2 linked regions of the Sus scrofa genome follow. The protein of the gene in region 1 purifies or fractionates together with the protein of each later gene. This does not show direct contact. Links are inferred from orthologs where the notes say so. Each region holds a gene or a part of one and is shown on either strand. Other genes may lie near its edges. The genes, in order: TMPRSS6 and HFE2.

What was found.
Region 2: the proteins of TMPRSS6 (region 1) and HFE2 purify together in Homo sapiens (co-immunoprecipitation; 3 studies listed by IntAct). This does not show direct contact. The link is inferred for Sus scrofa from reciprocal best matches to the Homo sapiens genes TMPRSS6 and HJV.

The regions. Positions count from the first base shown.
Region 1 is NC_010447.5:10,680,368-10,684,175, forward strand, and holds part of TMPRSS6 (transmembrane protease serine 6), read left to right. Parts: intron 1-1,793; coding exon 1,794-1,998; intron 1,999-3,808. UniProt on the Homo sapiens protein: Membrane-bound serine protease. Through the cleavage of cell surface hemojuvelin (HJV), a regulator of the expression of the iron absorption-regulating hormone hepicidin/HAMP, plays a role in iron homeostasis.
Region 2 is NC_010446.5:99,326,430-99,330,949, forward strand, and holds the start of HFE2 (hemojuvelin), read left to right. Parts: upstream 1-1,559; 5' UTR 1,560-1,784; intron 1,785-2,557; exon of another isoform or gene 2,558-3,057; 5' UTR 3,058-3,147; coding exon 3,148-3,244; intron 3,245-3,639; coding exon 3,640-4,217; intron 4,218-4,520. UniProt on the Homo sapiens protein: Acts as a bone morphogenetic protein (BMP) coreceptor. Through enhancement of BMP signaling regulates hepcidin (HAMP) expression and regulates iron homeostasis.

The sequences.
Region 1 (3,808 bases):
CACTGAGCAAGGCCAGGGATCGAACACGCGTCCTCCCAGATACTAGTCTGGTTCATTACCACTGAGCCACAGTGGGAACTCCCAGCCACAGTGGGAACTCCCAGAACTCAGAGTGGCTGAGATACTGACCCAGAGTCACACAGTGGATGAGAGGTGGAGCCAGGATGATAAGGCAGAGTGTGGACGCCCCACATACCAGGCTGTCTCCCACATCTGGGGCTCACTCCCGCACCCCTAGTGCTTCCTGGCAGAGCACCCAACCTCCCTGCTTCACAGGCTCCTGGTGAGGTTTAAATGACACCCTTATGGCCCGGGGACTTCTGCTGGTCCCTGGAGCCTACATCAAGCACGGAGTAGGTGCCCAATAACAATGCTGAGTGAATGGATGGATGGATGGGTGGGTGGGTGGTATAGGTGAAAATGGTGACAAGTCACAGGACTTTCTCCCCAGCTCCACCTTCTCCCTCCCCGCACATCCACCTAAAGAAGAACTGTCACTGTGCATACTGAGCACCTGCTGTGTGCAAGGCACTATGCTGAGAACTCGGACATGCACCCTCCCTAAACTCTGGGACAACCAGGCTAGAATTGTCATTGCCCCCATATTACAGAGGACAAAACTGGGCCCCAGGAAAGACTAGGTGGAGATTAGAGGAATCTATGTTTTCTGGCCCAGGTCTGTAAAATGGGAACAATGAAACTATTTCATGGAGCTCTCGGGAGTTCTCATTGTAGCTCAGTGGGTTAAGAACCTGACTAGTATCCATGGGGTTGTGGGTACAATCCCTGGCCTTGTTCAGTGGGTTAAGGATCTGCCGTTGCCAAGCTGTGGCATAGGTCGAGGATGAGGCTCAGATCTGGCGTTGCTGTGGCTGTGGCTTTAATGGGACCCCTGGCCTGGGAACTTCCATATGCCGTGGGTATAGCCCTCAAAAATAAAAGAAACACATTTGATTCCCGGGAAGCACACCAAAATAATAACAATAATAAAATAAAATAAAAATAAAAGACACACGTAAAAAAAACAAGCCCCAACCCCCAAAAAACTATTTCATGGAGCCATTAAATGAGATGGTAGGTGCATGGCCCTGAGCTCAGCTCCCTGCAGGCATCAAAGCGCTGGCTAAGTGCCATCTGTTTATTCTCGTGGTTTGGTTATCACTCGCTTCCTCCGCCTGGGCGGCCTCCCAGCCCTCCTGGAACATACCCCCTTCTCTTCACCTGCAATGAAACCCTCAGCTGCTCCTCTTACTGCTGGGCACCTCCCAACCCCCGAACTAGTCCCCAGTCTCCCGGCCTCCCCAGCCTTGCTCCCAGCAGCCAGAGGAGTCTATGATTCCAGCCCCACCTAACCTTCCATGGCTCCCGTGGCCACAGGAGGAAAAGGCTCATTTCCTGGCGTGATCTGAGCCCTGCCTCCCTCCTCCAACTGGCCCTCCTGCCTTGGAGTCCCCTGCCCGCTCAGCCGGCAGCCGTCACTGTCCTGCCTGCATCTGTATCTGTCCCCGATGTTTGTTGCTCCCGGGCAGCGACAGAGCCTTGCTCTGGTACTCGCCAAGTGCAGCAGGGGAAGGAATGCATGAGCCGGTGAACGAGTGAGTGGGTGAGGAGGCTGAAGATGGGAGCAGCAGCGGGACAGAAAGATGGGACTGAGCACCTCGGGGCTGAGCCCCACCAGCGGCTCTCCCGCCCCCAGCCCTGCCCGGGTGAGGACCTGACGGGGCTGGCCCCACCCCAGGTCTCTCCTCCCAGCTAACAGGAGTCAGGGGGCCTGTCCCTCTCCCCCACTCCAGGCTGCTACCGCTATAGCTACGTGGGCCGGGGCCAGGTCCTCCGGCTGAAGGGACCCGACCACCTGGCCTCCAGCTGCCTGTGGCACCTGCAGGGCCCCGAGGACCTCATGCTCAAACTCCGGCTCGAGTGGACGCTGGCGGACTGCCGGGACCGGCTGGCCATGTACGACGTGGCGGGGCCCCTCGAGGGGAGGCTCATCACCTCGTGAGTCCCTGGGAAGGCGGGGCGGGGGGCGGGCAGGGGGGGTGCTGGGAATGGGAAGGGGATGGAGGGGTGGGGTCAAAACCACCCCCAGATTCTGAGACAAGGGGCTGTGTGACGCTGGCCCCCGCAGTTGGTACCTGGGGACAGGGAGGCTAGCCCAGAAGGGGGTGGCGAGGGGAGACTGTACCGTGGGCAACCCCTCCTCCTCCCCCCGCCTCAGTTTCCCTATTCGTAACAAAACAGTTGCACTGGGAGTTCCCTTTGTGGCTCAGTGGTAATGAACCCAACTAGTATCCACGAGAACTCAGGTTCGGTCCCTGGCCTCACTCAGTGGGTTAAGGATCCAACGTTGCTGTGAGCTGTGCTGTAGACCACAGAAGCAGCTCGGATCCCACGTTGCTGTAGGGACTGCGGCTGGCAGCTGCAGCTCCGATTCAGCCCCTAGCCTGGGAACATCCATGTGTCACGTGTGCGGCCCTAAAAGAAAAAAAAGTCAGCTCTGGGAGGTGACATGATCTTGCTAGAATGCTTCAGAATCTGGCAGCCCCAGACTTCCGGCCCCACTCTGCTACTTCCTAGCTGTGTGCCCTAAGGCAAGTTACTTTGCCTCTCTGAGCCTCAGTTTCCTCACCTGTAAAAGAGGTGCACAACCACGCTTACCTTGCCGGGTTATGGTGGGAATTTTCATCAGTCCCTCTGTGCCAAGATCCTCACACATAGTAAGCATCAGTATCACTGTACATTAAGCATACCCGTTAAACATCCCATGCCATCCACTATCCCTCATCATCTAGAGTCTAGCTGGGGCTGGGTCATAAAGGGCATGGAATGCCAAGGGCAGTCTGAATGTTCACACTTGGTCAGCGAGGAACGAACGGGAAATTCTTGAGCAGAGGAGCAGGACTTTAGGATAAGGCGTGGAATGCAGGAGGTGGGCAGGGGGTGGGTGGAGGGGAGACCTTGAAGGGGCTGGAAATGACCTTGGCCTCCAGGAGCCTGATCACCTTCCTGCAGGGTGGGGGTGGAGTGCCGTGGATCTACAGGGTTCTGTAGGAGGTGGGGGAAGCACTGGGGCACGAGGCTGCTGCCTCCCCTGTCTTGCTTGGGCCGGCTTCCCGGCTGCGTGGGGCTGGGACCCGCAAGTTCAGATCAAGGGCTGTGCTGGAGGATGCGCTGGGCCACGTTCTCCCGGGCCCCCTTCCACAGGGCCTCTCTGAGTCTCTGAGCTGTGAGGCTGAGCCCTCCTCTGCAGCCCCACCCCGCCCTGCCAAGTGGTGACCTCAGTCTGGGGTGTGCGTGGGCTGGGTTCCTGGAGGGCTCTGGGAAGCTCAGAGAAGCCAGACACCATCTGATTTCCAGGCCTGATCAGAGCGGGGACGCTTCAGGGCTTTCCCTGGGCTTCTCCCAGGCTCCACCCCTCCTCAGCCTGCTGTGGCCGGCTGAGCCCTCTCCCCACTCCCTGTGGCACCAGCCTGCTTACTCCCTCTCAGACCCTCGGAGAAGCTGTAAAAGGATGGGTCAGACAAGACCGAGGGGTCCTCCAACGCACCCCAGACCACGCGGGGGCACCTTAGTGGTGATGGGGAGACAGAGTCGGGGTCGGAGGGGGGGAAGCCTCCACACTTTCACCTTGTTTTAGTTACAACCAGGGCTCAGCTGCTAAGTAAGTAAAAAAAGTTTCCAACATTAAAAGCGACCATTTAAGGTGACCTTGGGGAGTTCCCGCTGTGGCTCAGCCGGTTAAGAACCTGACGAGTATCCACGAGGAGCCAGGTGTGATCCCTGGCCTCGCTCAGTGGGTTAAGGATCG
Region 2 (4,520 bases), on another chromosome or scaffold:
TCCAATTTAAATTCAGAATTGTAGCGTTTTTACTTCAATCATAAATCTGTACCTCTTTATGCTACCTCTAAAATCCTGGTTCACAAGAATGTAATTACTCATTTGTTTTATCCCACGATATACCCACAAAGCTTTCAGAATAGCAATACCAACACTACCACCAACATGACTGCTTTAAAATATTTTGCACTTCTTTTTGTCCTTAGAGTAATCTCACTTGGGATTTCATAGTCAACTTATTGTATTTATTTATTTATTTGACTACAGTGACAATGCTGAATCCTTAACCACTAGGCCACCAGGAAACTCCCAAATTATTGTGTTTTAAAGTCACTTGGATAGTTTGGTTGGAGTCATTTTACACTTTTGTAATATAAACCCTTGTGGAGTTCCCTGGTGGCTCAGTAGGTTAAGGATCCAGTGTTGTCACTGCTGTGGCTCAGGTCACCACTGTGGTGAGGGTTTGATCCCTGGCCTGGCCTGGGAACTTCTGCATGCCATGGGTACGGCCAAAACAAAACCCAAAAACAACCCTTGTGATATGGCTTCATGGCATCAAGAGAAAAACTAAAATTTTCAGATACACATGTAAAATAAAGAGAAGAGTGTTCCGTGGGCCTCTAGATTCTGAATTAAGTATAGAGCAAATTAATGCAGATGCATTAGTGACACTATTTGAGGTCGGCCCTTGTGTTAATTTCACTTGGCAAATACTAAGAGGTGATGATGCCTATGGCTGCTAAAATATGACATGGCTAAATTCCTTGACTGCAACATCTTATAAGAGGTCACCAGATTATCTTACTCCACAAAAATATCTTTCTGAATCTCTTTTTCTCTCAGTTTATCTCTCCAAGGTCCTCTCCTCTGTGGATTAATAACCTTCAAATTTTCTATCCCCATTCCTTCTTCTTGCCCTTCCTAGCCTTCTCCCCCCAGCAACTCAGGAGCTTATATTTTTGTGTGTATTTTGGGGAAGAGGAATTGCTGTATAAATAAGGGAATGAAAATGGAGGATGTAGGGTAGACAGCTGCAAGGATCTGAGCTAGTAGACTGAAACAAACCCTCATCCTAAACAACTCAGAGCTCAGATTTCTTCTCTAGACAGCTGGCTGTTTTAGTCCATCTGATTTACTCTGCAAAGATGGGGGGTGGGGGTGCTGTGAACTATCTCTGTTATGGACCTTATTTAAAGTCAGCTACCTCCTAGATGTGTTCTGTAGAAACTAAATGCCATATTTAACATAGCAGGCTTGAAGGTGATGAACAAAATGTATACAATTGTCCATTCTAATTTTTAAAGGTCAAGAGCTCATTTTTAACAATACTTCAGGGCTGCCTGAAGTAGGCACTAACTAGAATTATATAAGCTCAAATTGGACATCTGACTTGATTGTCATATTTCTGCCCCCCTTCCGCACTTGGCACCCTATACTCCATATTCTTTCCAATCCTCCTACCCTCCCCACTCCCCCAACTCCAACACCCTACCCCCACCAATGTTCCTGGAATTTTGGACTTAGCTATTTTTAAAACAGTCAACTCAGTAGCCACCTCCCTCCCCCGCTCAGCTGTCCAGTACTCTGGCCAGCCATATACTCTCCCTTCCCCCCACATCAGACCTTCTCTGGTTCCCTGACCTCAGTGAGATTGCCACCGGTCTGGGGACCTGGGGAAGACATGGAGAAAGAGACGGGGGATCCCCTGGCTGGAGCTGACTGACACAGTAGACAGTCATGGCTGGAGAACTGGATATCAGACTAATATTTGACGTCTGGAAACAGTAAGTCAAAATGAAATTGCAATTCCTTTAATAAGCTTTTGGAGTGAAGTTAGACTTTCATAAAATTAAGACACCTTCTTGGATGTCTCTGGTCTGAAAGCTAGGATCTCTTCCATACTGAGGTGCCCCAGTGTCCATTTCTCCTTCTGTCTTATTTCTTTCTGTTCTCTGGCCATTAGAAGTTTAAATTTCTGTCTCTCCTTTGGGAGTCTTGGCTCTCTCCTCATCTGGTTGCCTCAAGACTACTAGTGAAGTCTCTTTCTTTAGTAGGAGGTTCCCATATCTCCTATTCTGTGGTTTTCTCACCAAGGCCAAATTTAACCTCAGATGATTAGTCACTGCTACCCTTCTACCCTGCTCCTACTTAGTAGTGCCCTTCACGTTGGGCTTCTAAGGGTAGGGCTACTCCTTGTTGTAAATGATTTCTCCCCATGACTCTAGTCTCAGTCATCCTACTCTCCCTCCTACATGACTCTCCCTCAGTCATATCCTTACCCTTGGAGAGGGTAGTTTGGCAAGAGAGAGTTAGTCCCTCCTCAAGCCCCATCCACATCAAAAGACTGAGAACTTCTAAACTTGCAAAGGAAAGATTAATGGAATGAATGATTCTTCAGTAAGGTTTGGAAAAATACAAGAACTGTTGACCCACAACAAACATTGATTTGCATGCTTGGTGTACATCCCATTATTCCATGAGAGAGAGATATAATTTTAGCTCTCTAGAGTATATGAAAGAGATGGGTTCCCTTTTCATTTGAATACTGGTATTCTAGAGAGGGGATGTGTATACCACCTTTACAACTTCTTGCTGAGAATTCTGACACAAAGGAGAAAAAGAAATGAATGACCCCTGGAGAGTATCCCATCCTGATGGGGAAGGGCAAGTAAGAGGTATGTTTCTGAAGTACTTTTCAGATCCTAATTCTATTGGGGAACCCACTATCCACATGATTCCTCTTTTTTTTTTTTTTTTTGACATTTCTGCTGATTGGTAGCTCAGAATGGGGCAATACAGTGGACTCTGCCCCCCCCCCCCCAGTCAATTCAACCTTTCTTCCACCCCCACCTAGGAGTATTGCATAAGGGACCTGAAAGTAGCCACAAAAGCAGGTCACAGAGGCTTAACAGCCACATTTTTAGTTCAGGGACCCCCATTCTCCCCAAACTCCAGTCTGCTCAAACTTTTCTTGATCTCCGCAGATTCTCTTCACACCATTCTGAACAATCTTCAACTCTTCTCTTTCCCCCTGCACAGCCAAATTTCTTTTTTCAGCCCCTTACAGGACGTCTGGTCAAAATTCACTAGGTAGGAGGGTCATCAACTGGAAAGAACCGGAGCCTGGGGGGACCTGGCTGGATAGGTATGGGGGATCCAGGCCAGTTCCCTAGTCCCTGGTCCCCCCATGGCAGTCCCCCAACTCTAAGCATTCTCACTCTCCTGCTGCTCCTCTGTGGACATGGTAAGGAAGGGTTAGGTAAGGGTTTGGGGAATCTAGAGGGTAGGCTGCTATGTAGGGGTGGGCATGTGCGCATGTGTGAGAAGAGATGGGGGCTGAGGAGTCCCAGTCACTCGCCCCACTCTCAGATAGGTATGTATTATTCTCTACTCAACTTGGGAAAGGGCACTGGGAAAGCTTTTGATCCGGAGGGAGAAGAGATCTAGCAGGGCTTACACGTTTTTAGCAAATCCGAATGAGAACAAGACTAGGAACCTGGGGCCTGGGGGCTGGGGAGTGGGTAAGGCTCTCTGTTGGGTTTTTGGATACGCTGGAATCCCTTGATGAGATTTGGGAGTGTTATGGTATAGCCAGGATCTGGGGGCCACCTTAAAATCCTCTCTCCCTTCTGTCCTCAGCTCATTCTCAATGCAAGATCCTCCGCTGCAATGCTGAGTATGTATCTTCCACCCTGAGCCTTAGAAGTGGGGGTTCACCAGGAGCCCTGCGAGGAGGAGGAAGTGGAGGAGGAGGCCGTGGTGGAGGGTTGGGCTCCAGTGGCCTCTGCAGAGCCCTCCGCTCTTATGCTCTCTGCACTCGGCGCACTGCCCGCACCTGCCGCGGGGACCTGGCCTTCCATTCTGCTGTGCACGGCATCGAAGACCTGATGATTCAGCACAACTGCTCCCGCCAAGGCCCCACGGCCCCTCCCCCTCCCCGCGGCCCCGCTCTTCCTGGAGCAGGCCCCGCCCGCTCCTCCGGCGCCCCAGCCCCAGACCCCTGTGACTATGAAGGCCGGTTTTCCCAGCTGCACGGTCAGCCTCCAGGCTTCTTGCATTGCGCCTCCTTTGGGGACCCTCACGTGCGCAGCTTCCACCACCACTTTCACACTTGCCGTGTCCAAGGAGCTTGGCCTTTGCTGGATAATGACTTCCTTTTTGTCCAGGCCACCAGCTTCCCCGTGGCATTGGGGGCCAACGCCACCACCACTCAGAAGGTCAGGGACTCAACTGCTTCTTCAGATCCTCCATGGTCACCCCAGGGTACCTCTCCCAAGCCAATCTCTTTATTTCTCAGCAATGCTCCCTATTCCTTCTCATCCTCAACTACTCCCACATTTTGATTCACTCCTTCCTACCAAACACTTGCTGCTGTAAATCACATTCCCTTGGTCAAAATTTCACTTTAATGCAGAAAATCCTAAAGAGAATATTGCTGAGAGGAAAGTAACTCCCTGAGTTGAGGAGTTACAGAAAGGAAAGTTTTCCTTCTCCTGTGGGAGTTTCTGAGATTGAGACCA